Lytechinus pictus: one gene and its partner. The protein of the gene in region 2 interacts with the protein of the main gene of each other region in a pairwise test. Links are inferred from orthologs where the notes say so. Each region holds a gene or a part of one and is shown on either strand. Other genes may lie near its edges.

Region 1 (6,582 bases), on a different chromosome or scaffold from region 2:
TGTTGCCAATGCAAAACCTAATTCTGTAAATGAAATATCCTGCAGAATTTGTTGTCCTTTAATTGAAAAAAAAAATTAAATTGCTACACATGCTTGTCCACACAGTAAATAGCTTCTTGATTCTTGAAACAAAAAAACAAAAAACCCACTTGGTGTGCTATAATATCTAACCTAAAATAAATAATTGCAAAATCGATGAATTACTCTGTTAAAAAAAAAAAAACAGGATCAGAGCTATAGGTTGATTTGGAATGAAAAGTTCAAATAACTTGTTTAATACTACAATAGTAATAAAGAAGAAGAAATACTTTACACTTTACATTGCAAAATTCCTACTGATGGGGGAGGTGAAATTAAATAAAATGATATTTTTCACATTGTTTTCTGTATCTACATGTATGCCAGACAAAATAGTGTCTGATAACATATCAAATCAGAGAAGAAAAAAAATAGAGATGAGCACAGTACATGAAGATATAAGCCGAAAAGGTAGCTCTGTGAAGGAAAGATTCCCAATAAATTTCATATACCCAATAAGTACATCAAACTATGAAATATTGTTTTTATAAATGACTCATTCAAAAAACAGTTCAAAAGCGAAAATGATATTATTCAGTTTTTCTTAAAACATCATACAGCATCTTTCTGAGATCGAGACTAAATACTGATGCTTTAACCGTTCAGACATTTGTAATTTTAAACCTACAAGTTTTGGAACTATATTGTTAAAATAAATGTGAAAAATCTGTGAGTTCACTTTTTAGATTCAAACCAATTTCCCATGCATTCATCTTCACAGTCTTATAGTTATACCAAAATTATTCAATAGATTTGGGAAATTCCACAGGTTACTGAGGTCACTGGACAAGATAGAAAAAAGGCACCTCTGTATTCCATATCATAAAGAGACCATCCAACATTTTTTGGGGGGTAATAAAAAGGGTGAAATGATCGCTGGACAAAATAAAACATTGAAAAATCATGTACTGCCCTCCCAATTCTTGATTCACAACTGCTCCTGTACAATACACAACAGTTCTTTCTTCATCATCTCATGCATGTACCTGAGAATAAGGACACTTCTAAAATCTTGTCATTCTATTGCTGTCACGGGGGAAAATTTGCCGAAGGTTACGCCACCATGTTGGTTTTAGTACACATAAAGCCAGTAGTATAGTAAACACAACTTTCAAGAATTTTTTCGGCTGACCTGCTGTCGCTCAGCCAGAAACCATGCAGCGTTTCCTTTGGTTTTGATAGGCCGAAGCGATCGCGAGGCTGAGGTGAGCAAACCACGGCGGCCCAGAGCCCATTGACTCACTGGAAAATTTTTTTAAATGGTGCATATCAGCATTTTTTAAATTTAATACAGCAAAAGTTTGATTTTCTTATGGTTTCTGGAGTTGGACATTGGTGATTGGGACTGTGTACTAACAGTAACATTGGCTTTCCTTTCTGGACTGGAATTTTGAAATTAAAAAAAGCGCAAGATCTACCATTTGTCGTTGTCTGACGTCTGTTGATCGTCATATTTTATGATTTATCGCGCTAGCCATGCTCGCACAGCACTTACGTACAGTGTACACAGTCACACACACACAAACATCACACAGATTCACTGCAATGCTTGCCCAGGCCTTCAGCTCTACTACAATTACCTCGAGCGATGTTCGTGCAGGCTCCACTCCACTTCACTACCGCTACACTACGCTCCACCTACCCGAACATCGAGACGGTGAACCAGTTCGGATATACCGAGTCACAAAGGTGGGATGGAAATCATGTTTATCGTAAAAATTAAAGAAAAAAAATATAACGAGAAAGATGAATAACTTAATACCTTACTCTACACCCATATTTCACTCTGCTTCCATCCTCCAGTTATCCTCAAAATTGGTGATTTTGGGCCAGTATCTTTTTCCTCACACGTATTATTCATAGCCGATTTCAAAACATCGCATGCGATCGATCGCGATCGGTTTGACCTGCGACCGATCGCGATTGCATGCGATTTTTTTTAATCGGTCGTGAATAATACGTGTGAGGAAAAAGATACTGGCCCAAAATCACCAATTTTGAGGATAACCGGATGGAAGCGGAGTGAAATACGGGTGTAGAGTAAGATATTAAGTTATTCATCTTTCTCATTATATTTCTTTTCTTTAATTCTTACGATAAACATGATTTCCATCCGACCGTCCTTTGTGACTCGGTATATCCGAACTGGTTCACCGTCTCGATGTTCGGGTAGGTGGAGCGTAGTGTAGCGGTAGTGAAGTGGAACCTGCACGAACATCGCTCGAGCGAGGTATACTAGTACAATCAGACAATGGCAATGCCGGCGCTAATGCAGTTTCGCACCGGCCGATAACCAGCATACCTCATCACCAATACTTGTTCCCAAATGTCATGACAAGTCTCTCAGTCACATTTCGAGGTCAATATACCCACCTCTTTTCCAAATATCGCGATCGGGAACGGCTGTATTTCAGCTTTGATCTCGAGGTCGTTGTTCGAATCCTCAGACATCACTTCACGGATTGCTTAGATTCGCCGTGCGCCGTAATGTTGATATCCATGGACTGAAGTTATGCGATCAAAAGATTCGCTTGCAGCATGCTGGCAGTTTGTTCGCCACATGTTCGCATAATTTGGTTGCTAACTTCAGTCCATATCAACATTACGGCGCACGGCCAATCCAAGCGATCCGCGAAGTGATGTCTGAGGATTCGAACAATGACATTGAGATCAATCATCAAAGCTGAAAATGAAATACAGCACTCAGCAGTTCCCGATCGCGATATTTGGAAAAGAGGTGGGTAAATTGACCTCGAATTGTGACTGAGAAGTGAGTGTGAGAGACCAGTATCCTCACTGACCTCCTTCCAGTCTCATCACAGATAGATCTCAGGAAACTGCTGCTTCTAGGCCAACTCGTCAACCTCGATCACACACGCTTTGAGTTTAGAACATTCTTAGAAGCCCTCAACTTAGGCGCTCCAACAATACGGCTCCTGCAGGAGATAACAAAGAAGTATGATCTTCCTGATCTTCACAGCCTTCTATCGAATCCTCCTGTATACTCATCTTGGAAGAGATTGGTCAATTACAAAGTGAACCTGCTGACCAAACACAACACATGTCAAGGAATCCTTTCCAAGCCATCTCTTAAGTACTGGCAAGACTGTATACCTCCTTCTGCCAAACTCCTGTACCCGAAAAGTGTACTCTCTCCTGTCTTACGAAGAGCATTTGTGGTGAGAGCTCAACTCCTTACAGCCACCTACTTAACACAGTGTCGTCTCTTCACGCTGAAGAAATCAACCAGCCGCACTTGCCCTCTATGCAAATCTACCGACGAGACTGTGGAACATTTTACTGGGCAGTGTCCCAAGCTAGACCATCTCCGTCAAGTGTTTATTGGCAAAGTCAAGGACTGCCTTGTGGACTTCCCAACATGTGTCGATCTATATGTCAATGCCAACCCACAGGACTTTACTCAGGCCACCCTTATACCATTTCACTCTTGTTTGCCCAAGGAACTACACAATAGTTTACTCCTATTATCTCTCTTTTTCCTCCACAAAATTGATGTATTCCGTACTGACATGGTTCAAACCTCCTAAACCAGAATGACAGCGTATATGGAACATATCTGTTTACCTTGGACCCTAGGAATCTCCAAATAGTGGAGGGATCAGCTAAGCCTAAGAGAGAGAGAGAGACTTGTCATGACAATTGACATTTGGGATCAACATGATCATGATCAAGCAGTCACAGTCAAGTATTGGTGATAAAGATAAGGTAGGCTGGTAATCGGCCGGTGCGAAACTGCATTAGCACTAGCACCGCAATGCCATGGTCTATGTTGTTCTGCGGCATACTACAGCTGCATGAAGCTGGCCTGGCGCTGGCCTTCGGCTCACACACGAGGCACCGTGCGCGGCCCCGCGTCGTCGATTGACGCAAAAAAAAAAATGACGGCTTTGCTTTGGCTTTGCCTTTGGCTTTGCGTGAAATTATTCACCAAGATTGCTCAGGTCACACTGAATCTTTTGAAAAAAAAACATATAAATAATGACAAAAACCACTCTTCACATATCAACCACTCACTTAAACCATTAGAACCCAAGAAAGCGGTTAAACTTGATACTTACTTGTCCTTTTCGGTGCCAAAAATGGATGCAAGATATTCAGCCATTTTGGCAAGCGAGCAATGTCAACCTCGATCTATCACTGTGATAAAATACTTTTAAAAAAGTGTATCAATAAAAAAAATTGTAAAAAAAATGAAAAAATATTTATAAGTCATATAATATTAGTTTTTTTTCTTTCACTGAAGTATTATGAATTTAATATTTTGCCATTTAAAAAACATAATCAGATGAAAGAAATCTCACGACTTTAGATATGACATGCCAAACGTAAGGGAAGAGATGTATTCCAATCATATATGTTGTCTCTAGCTGGAAGGTAAAATTTATTTTGGCGCTAAACTGCTGATATTTTCTTCTTTTTCTCACTGCTTTTCTTTTTATTAATTTTTGACTACTTATTCTTCTCCATTGTTTGTTGTCTCACCTCGTTTCCCTATCCCTTTCTGTACTTTTATTTCCTTTTCGACCCCCTAATTTCTTCGATCTTCATCTTTTTTTTCTTCGATCTTCATCTTTTTTTTCTTCCCGTCTTCTTTTTCTTTTTTTCTCTCCATTTCCCCCCTTTCACTGCATGTTGTTATTCTTTGAGGGTCTTACTTATGTGAAAAAGGGCTCGCCCTATAAGTTTTATCTGCATCGAAACCGTACGTTGAAGTTTCAATCTATCTTTTAACTTTAAGTATTGTTAAAAAAAAAAAAAAAAGTGAAGGGCCTGCAAGGACCCCTAAAATGTTCACGACCCGAAGGGCCCAAACGAACGAGACTATAGTAGGTGAAATTATCAAAATCTATCACAAAATAATATTTTTACATTTAAAATTGCATTTTTTTATGAGGCTAGGCTTTCGCTTTTCATAACTATACAAGTGCCATTATCAGGCCATTCAAAATTGTTTGGTCATTCACGCTACCCATGAACCAATTTCATTTTGAGAGGAAAAAAATACAATATAACCATTATAGGTCCCCGTTCTTTCTACCTTTACTCTTCTCTTTCCAACGCGTATGCGTTGAAATGTGATTTTTTTATTGTTACTGAATTCGAATAATCAGCGACTATCTATAATGTTTCAGTAAACGAAATAGGTATATAAAACTCTCTGTATATAAAACTTTATTCTAATTATTTACCCATTGTATAATTTCCATTTTTCAATCTCCTTATACTCTGAATACGTCACTAATTCGATATCCTCTACAGTCAAATTTATCTAATCCAATGAATTCACTTACATCATCCCTGATAGCAGACACGGTCGTAATGACGTCATTAACTGATCGTAAAGTGGTAATACTCGTCATGTCGTCGTATTTATGACGTTCTTACGACGTCATTTTGACGACTTAGAATGGCAACTTTCATTTGCATTTTTATTTGACCAGATTATGACGTGATTTCGACGTCATTTAATTACTGACCAATTTAAGACAAGTAAATTTGCTCGCTTATATGACCAGATTATGACGTGATTACGACGTCATTTACTGACCAATTTACGACAAGTAAATTTGCTTTCTTATATGACCAGATTATTACGTGATTACGACGTCATTTATCGACCAATCTGCAACAAATGAATTTGCATTTTTATATGACCACATTATGACGTGATTATGACATCATTTATTTACCAAACAACGACAAAGAAATTTGCGTTTTCATATGACCACATTACGACGTGATTATGACATCAAATTTTACCAATCAACGACGAGGAAATTTACAAGTTTAATTTCAAAGCCACATACTATTTTGCCATTTTTTCAACCTTGCCATGTTAGCAAGGCTATTTCTACTTATAAAAGGAAAAGTAAAACTAAAAGAAAATAGTACAGATTTTTTTTTATTTTAGGTTAAGTATATAATTCTTCAAAGAAAAAAAATTTCAAAAGCAGTGGCAAAAATAATCATTTCTTAACTGGTTGCCAACCAAACCAAACAATTAAGAGGAAGCTTTATATGTCAAAGAAGTTTGTATCTATTTTAAAACTTTTTTTTTGGCAAGTGGTGTCATGCCCCGGTGTCATGCAAACCCCCTATCTAGTTAGCTCACCCCCCCCCCCCATGCACGCCCCCCGGGCACACCCCCTATAAATAATTCATGATCCGCAGAATTAATTCGCCGTCGGGCGTCGAGCCTGCGCATGCGCGCTGCACTGCATGCAACATATGCAACTGGCGCTGTAGTCGCAACCATTTAATTTGAAAAAGGAATGCGCCCGTTTTTCGCCGTTAAATGTTGCAGCCTAATTTTGGATCGAGAATTAAGTGCGACGAAGATGGCCGTTAATAATAGTTCTACTACTTTAAGAACACGGTTCAGATTTGGATAACGACTCGAAGGCATTCGCAGGAGACCAAACAGTAAGTTAGATAACCATCTTCTAATATTTTCTTTTCGGAGCGCGGCTTGCCTTTGGCTTT
Region 2 (6,582 bases):
AACTGGTAGCCAAATTGAACTTGTACCTCCTTTCACCACGATATGTAAAGAATCTTCGCTTTGGCGATTTTGAAAAGAATTGATGCGAGAGGCTTTGTTTACGATGCGAAGCTCTTCACACAACTGGTAACCTCTTTCCTCATGCGATGTTTAACGGGCTCAGTTTGCCACGGGTGGACAAGTTTTCAGATGACATCGACGATTCCGCGGAATTATAATTTTTTTAATTATCCATCTACCCCGCATTTCCCTGCTCTTCAAGACCACTCTGCCACTTTCACAATGTTGACAAAAACTTATATTACAAAATCGATTCACTAAATAAATCACAAACAAGATATATCTGGGGATGAATCACTTTAGTAAACTGTATTATCTACTCGTGAAAATGGGAACCAGCATAGCTGGTTCCCATTTTCACGAGTAGATAAAGACAGTTTACTAGTGAAATTTATTTTGTCAGAGTCATCACTGACAAAATAAATCTCATTGGCAATCTCTCTCTATATCTACTCTTCAAAATGGGAACCATCTAAGAAAATTCTCCTGAATTATAAATGCTGGTTCCCATTTTCACGAGTAGATAAAGACAGTTTATTAATCAGATTTATTTCGTCAAAGAATCATCACTAACGAAATAAATATAACTAGTAATCTGTCTTTATCTACTCGCTGAAATGGGAACCAGCGTGTACAACTCTATTGAGAATTTTCCACGCTGGTTCCTATTTTGGCGAGTAGATTAAACTAGTTTACTCTACTCGCTGAAATGGGAACCTGCGTGTACAACTCTATGTGGAGTTTTCCATAGAGTTGTACGCGCTGGTTCCCATTTCAGCGAGTAGAGTAAACTAGTTTACTCTACTCGCTAAAATGGGAACCATGTGTACAACTCTATGGGGAGTTTTCCATAGAGTTGTACGCACTGGTTCCCATTTTGGCGAGTAGAGTAAAGTAGTTTATTAAATCTAATCGCCAAAATGGGAACCATCTAAGAAAATTCTCATGAATTATACATGTTGGTTCCCATTTTCACGAGTAGATAAAGACAATTTGTTAGATTTAGATTTATTTCGTCAGAATCATCACTGACGAAATAAATCTCATTGGCATTCTCTCTCTCTATATCTACTCTTCAAAATGGGAACCATCTAAGAAAATTCTCCTGAATTATAAATAATGGTTCCCATTTTCACGAGTAGATAAAGACAGTTTATTAATCAGCTTTATTTCGTCAGAGAATCATCACTAACAAAATAAATATCACTAGTAATCTGTCTTTATCTACTCGCTGAAATGGGAACCAGCGCGTACAACTCTATCATATGGAAAATTCTCAATAAAGTTGTACACGCTGGTTCCCATTTCAGCGAGTAGAGTAAACTAGTTTACTCTACTCGCTAAAATGGGAACCAGTGTGTACAACTCTATGGGGAGTTTTCCACGCTGGTTCCCATTTTAGCGAGTAGAGAAAAGACTGCGACGAAATCAATCTTTCTGATCTAAGCTCTTTGAAGGATTACTTTATCTAGAATCAGCGCCACTGAACTAAAAATACGTGGAAGTCGTGTTCACTCAAGCAAAACAGCGCCGGCGAAATCGATAAGTCACGTGACCGCCGCCATTTTGCTAGGTCAATTGTTCGAGAACGTTCCGTAGAAGGCAATTGAAAATAATATTATGTGCAAGATGCAATATGTTTTCTCTATAAATATAAAATTAATAGTGTGGCAAAGTGTATTTTAATGTCATTAAGCCAATCATGTACAAACATATTTCTATATGCACAATGTACCGGGACCTGGTAATTCATGTAGTTAAAAAAAGGGTCTAAATCAGGGTGACCAGATTTCACAAAATGAAATACGGGACAATCGATAAAAAAAGATCATCAAAGAAGGCTACACGATGTTATACTTGTGAAAAAAATAAAAATAATTGGAAGGGAGGGAGAACGAAAGAATGAAGGAGAGAAAGAAAAGACGAAAGAAAAGAAATGATAAAGAAGAAAGAACAAATGAAGGGGAAAATGAAAGAAAGTTAGAATAATCAAAAGGACGATGAAAGAAAGAATAAAAGAGAAAAAAGGGTTTCCGTCATTCTTTGAATTCGCCCAATATAGAAAGAAAGGGAAGATGTGTGAAAGACAAAATAAAGGTAAGAAAAGTAAGAAAAATTAAGGAGGAGGAAACAAAGAAAGAAGAAAACGGGAAGGGGAAATGAAGGAAGGGAGGGAGGGAGGGAAAGAAAGAAAGAAAGAAAGAATAAGGGGAAAGAAGAAGAAGGAAAAATAAAATAGAGAATGAAAGAAAGAATGAAAGAGAGGGAGGAAAGATTGGAGATAGGATAGAATGAAAAAAATAATGGAAGGAGAGAAAAACGAAAAGAAAAAGGTGAGGAAGGGAGTAAATAAAAGTATAAGGAAAAAAAGAATGACGGAAATAAAAATGGCAGATACGGAGAAAGAAGGAAAGAAAGAAAATTAAAACACAGAAAGAATCAGGAAAGAAAGGTATGAAATATTAAAAGATGTAGATGGAACAAAAAAAAGCAAGGATAGAAGGATGAAGGATAAAAAGGAAAGAGGAAAAAGTTCAAACTTCAAGCAAACAAAAGCAATCCAATCATCTAACAGAAATGATAATGATATTTGGTGTGTTTGTGGGAATATTTACTCAAAATTTATATAGAGAAAGTTGAAATGAGAAAGGAAAAATGGTAAAGATGGAGAGAGAGAAAAAGAAACAGACGATCAACGAGAAGAGATGGAAAGAAGAGGAAGATCAAAGAGAAAGAGAGAGAGAGAGAGGGAGAGAGAGGGAGAGAGAGGGGGAAATCGAGGAATGAGAAAGAGGTGAGGAGAGAAAGGCGAGACGAGAGGGAGATAAAAGAGGGCTCGATATAAGGGAGATGGGGGAAATAAAAGAAAAATATAATTAGGGGAAGAGAGAGTGGGAATGTAAAAGAGAGAGATGAGAAAGAAGAGGAGAATCAGAGAGAAAGAAGCCAAAGAGAAAGGAAAATAATAAAGAGGGAGATCGAGATGATATAAAGGGGAGAAATAAGAGAGAGAGGGGCATGAAAGTAGAAATGGAAGAAATAGAAGGGGATGGAGAGGATAAGAGAGATGGAAAAAAGAGGAAAATCAGAGAAAATGAGATGAGATTAATAGTTGAATGAGAAGGGAGGTTTAAAAAAAAAGCTAGAGAAAGGGACATGATTTCTAATCGTTAAAAGATTTTTTTGATGCAACCAGCTAGTATAGGCCTACTCAGAAAGCATATTTGTTGTGGGGCCTTTCCTTGTCACAGCGTGCGCGTGAAAAAGGTCGAGTTTTTTATGATTTCATGTCTGTATGTTTACTCCCCTTTAATAAAAAAATGTGACTAAATCAACATTTTCAGTTATGAAAGTATTCAATAACATATAGTTCATGATGTAACAAAGCAAACTAAAACTTTAAACAGCACAAGGAACACTTTCTTTGCGTTCCTTTCTCCCATCTGCCTATATACACGCAGCATTTGTCGACCAGCCAGTATTGACCTAGCAAAATGGCGGCGCGCTCAGTCGAGCGTGAAGCCCGATGCTCTTCGTTGCCGCATGGCTTTGTGTACGTTGGGAATAGGGACACGCATTCCACGTTTTTTTAGTTCAGTGATCAGCGCGCCAGCTGCAATGAAACAGTGAACAAGCTCGAAAAGGTAGGTAGGTCATGTCTTGTCGTGAAAAAGTGTCCTTTGGAAATTAGGAACTGGTTCCCAATTTCACGATAATGCCCCATTTTATCATGTTCTTTTGGCAAAAAAACTTTACAAGGAGTTGTGCCTGGCTGTGGAACTGGAAGCCAGAACTCAGGGCCCTATTTACACAGGGGTTCTTTACACACACACACACCCCCAACCCACACAAGCACTAACTAGCGCACCACAAAGCACACACACACAACTGCACAATGACACATGATGAACGCGACGCAAACTGACTGGCTGGCATGGCCATGGCCGTCATGTTTGTATTTCGTCTATCGTATTTGGAAATTAAAATGAAAAGATTCCATGCTTTTTACATCACTCTTACTAATGCCTACCTGGTTTTCTATCATCTTCGTCCATGATTGAGTGTTTTCCCCGAGTTTTAGACCAGTTTTCAGCGGTTGTTTTCAGCATGCAACATTCAGGACCGGGTGTAACACGCTCAATGTCTGTATGTGCTACACTTCCGATCCGAGTACGAGTGTGTAGAAATTGCCGCACTACTACAGGCCCGTGCTAAAATATATTGGCGCTAATTATATTCACCACGCCAGATGATGAACAATATTTATCCCCCGAAGCCGTATGAAGTTTTATAATGCTTGTTTGATTTGTCGCGTTTTATTGATCTTTTGGTTGGCGTTGAATACATCATTAAATGGTAACTTTAAATAAAGAAGGCGAAACTATAGAATGGTGAAAGTTTGAAATAAATGGGGAAGAAAATATGACTGTTTACTTTTAATATTAGATCAATGGAATCTCGATTAGGCACCTGTTTTAATGTGCCAATAAATATATATAAGGCAACTAGCAATTATCGTGTACACTAAATTCGTGGAGGTTTTATCCTCTTCTAAGAAAGCCTATTATTCTGATTAAAGCTTAACTTGCCATTTTAAACTCAAATGCTTGCTTTTCTGAATCAAAATGACATCACCCATGCGACAGAACTTGTCACTTATATTTGCCGAATCATACTATAGGCGTAGCCCTAAATGATCCTGAGTAAAATAATATAAACTTTAATTATATTATCTTGCCACTTTGAAAGCAATTATTCTTCTCTGATATTCGGCAGAAAACATATCTGATCAAGAAAAAATTATCTAATTCCATATAGAAATTATTGAGAAATCGAGTGATGGATGAGCCTGCCAATTATGTTAACTATATTTTGGAGTCCGTGGATATAATCCATGCATGCATGCAGTGTCTGAGAATTACTTTAAAAATTGTAAGAATATGTGTGTTCACTAATATGAGTTATCTATACTAATTGAAAGAAAAGGTTATCTATACTAGGCCTGTATATACAATCGGAACGGGACTCGACCTGCCGTACGTGACCGCATGCAAAATTCAATTAGAAGAATTAAAATAATTGAGAAGAAGAACATTAAGACAACGCAGTGCTTCACGTACGTATACTTTTGTTTAATAAAAATTGCTCAGAAACTATGAAATAGAACTAGAACACTATTTGAATTTTATTAGACTATAGAAAACAACAATTCAGATAAAGCTCGATCTCAAGCCGGCCTTCGGTAACTGAGCACTCATTCTCTACAAAAGTGATGCCGGTGTAGGCCTATAAATTAATCAAACTAAGCCTATTGATTTGAATAAAGAAAGATCAATCTATAGCATAACGCTGAAAATTTCATCAAAATCGGATGTAAAATAAGTTATGGCATTTTAAAGTTTTGCTTATTTTTCCCAAATAGTGATATGCATAACCTAGTGACATGCAAATGAGTCGGTCGATGATGTCCATCACTGACTATTTCTTTCGTGTTTTATTGTTTGAATTATACAATATTTCATTTTTTACAGATTTGACACTAAAGACCAACTTGAACTTAAAAATATAACTTTTTTATTTCACATCCGATTTTGATAAAATTTTCAGTGTTATGCTTGTTGGATTTTTTTCTTTTTATTCAAATCAACTTTTTGTTGGGGTGGACTTGTCCTTTAAAGGACAAGTCCAGTCCAGCCCATCAAAAAATTGGGTTAGATAGAAAGATAAAAATCATACAAGCATGCACTACACTGAAAATTTCATCAAAATCCAATGTAAAAATAAAAAAGTCAGCATGACATTTTAAAGTTTCGCTTAATTTTATAAAAACATTTGACATATGCTGGTCAGAATGAGGAAACAGGGGCGTCGATCCATTTTTCAGATTGGGGGGCAAAATCATGAACTTTCCAAAGGAGCTCGATCACACAACTCACCCACACGAACACTGACACACACACACACACATAGGCCTATATATAAATATATATATATATATGTGACTCATGAGAAAGAGACACATATCCCACCAACAAATTATAATGCGAGCGCGAAGCGCGAGCTGAAAATCTTTTAGTATACTGACCTGAAAACAGGAAAAAGGTACCTGTTAGGACTGTTTGTAGTAACTCATGAGGAGGATACTTTTATCTCACTACACAGATAATGCGAGCCGGCCGAGAGCGAGCTGATATTTCTTTATATTCTGACCTGAAAGCTTGAAATTTAAGCATTTTTGGTAACAATGATTAAGATGGGCATCTAAAAGAACAATAGATGCGATGGCGAAGCGCGAGCTGAAAATTTTGATATTTCGATCTGAAAAAATTGACAGTTTAATGGACTTTTTAATAAAGACAGGATTTATATCCAACAAAAGATTGTTGATAATCGAAGCGGGAGTTCTTTTGAGGTTTAGACCTGAAAACGGGACATTCTATTTACCTATTATTCATGAAAAGTATGGGTTTTTGCTAAAGAAATGATGCGAGCGCGAAGCGCGAGCTGAAATTTTTTACATTC

What was found.
Region 1: the proteins of splicing factor U2AF 50 kDa subunit-like (region 2) and splicing factor U2AF 35 kDa subunit-like interact in binary tests that used the Drosophila melanogaster proteins (3 or more experiments, as listed by UniProt). The link is inferred for Lytechinus pictus from reciprocal best matches to the Drosophila melanogaster genes U2af50 and U2af38.

What each region holds. Positions count from the first base shown.
Region 1 is NC_087252.1:7,859,692-7,866,273, reverse strand, and holds the start of splicing factor U2AF 35 kDa subunit-like, read right to left. Parts: upstream 4,459-6,582; 5' UTR 4,202-4,458; coding exon 4,158-4,201; intron 1-4,157. UniProt on the Drosophila melanogaster protein: Necessary for the splicing of pre-mRNA. Binds to the polypyrimidine tract of introns early during spliceosome assembly.
Region 2 is NC_087254.1:7,870,417-7,876,998, forward strand, and holds the start of splicing factor U2AF 50 kDa subunit-like, read right to left. Parts: upstream 4,228-6,582; 5' UTR 4,170-4,227; coding exon 4,091-4,169; intron 1-4,090. UniProt on the Drosophila melanogaster protein: Necessary for the splicing of pre-mRNA. Binds to the polypyrimidine tract of introns early during spliceosome assembly.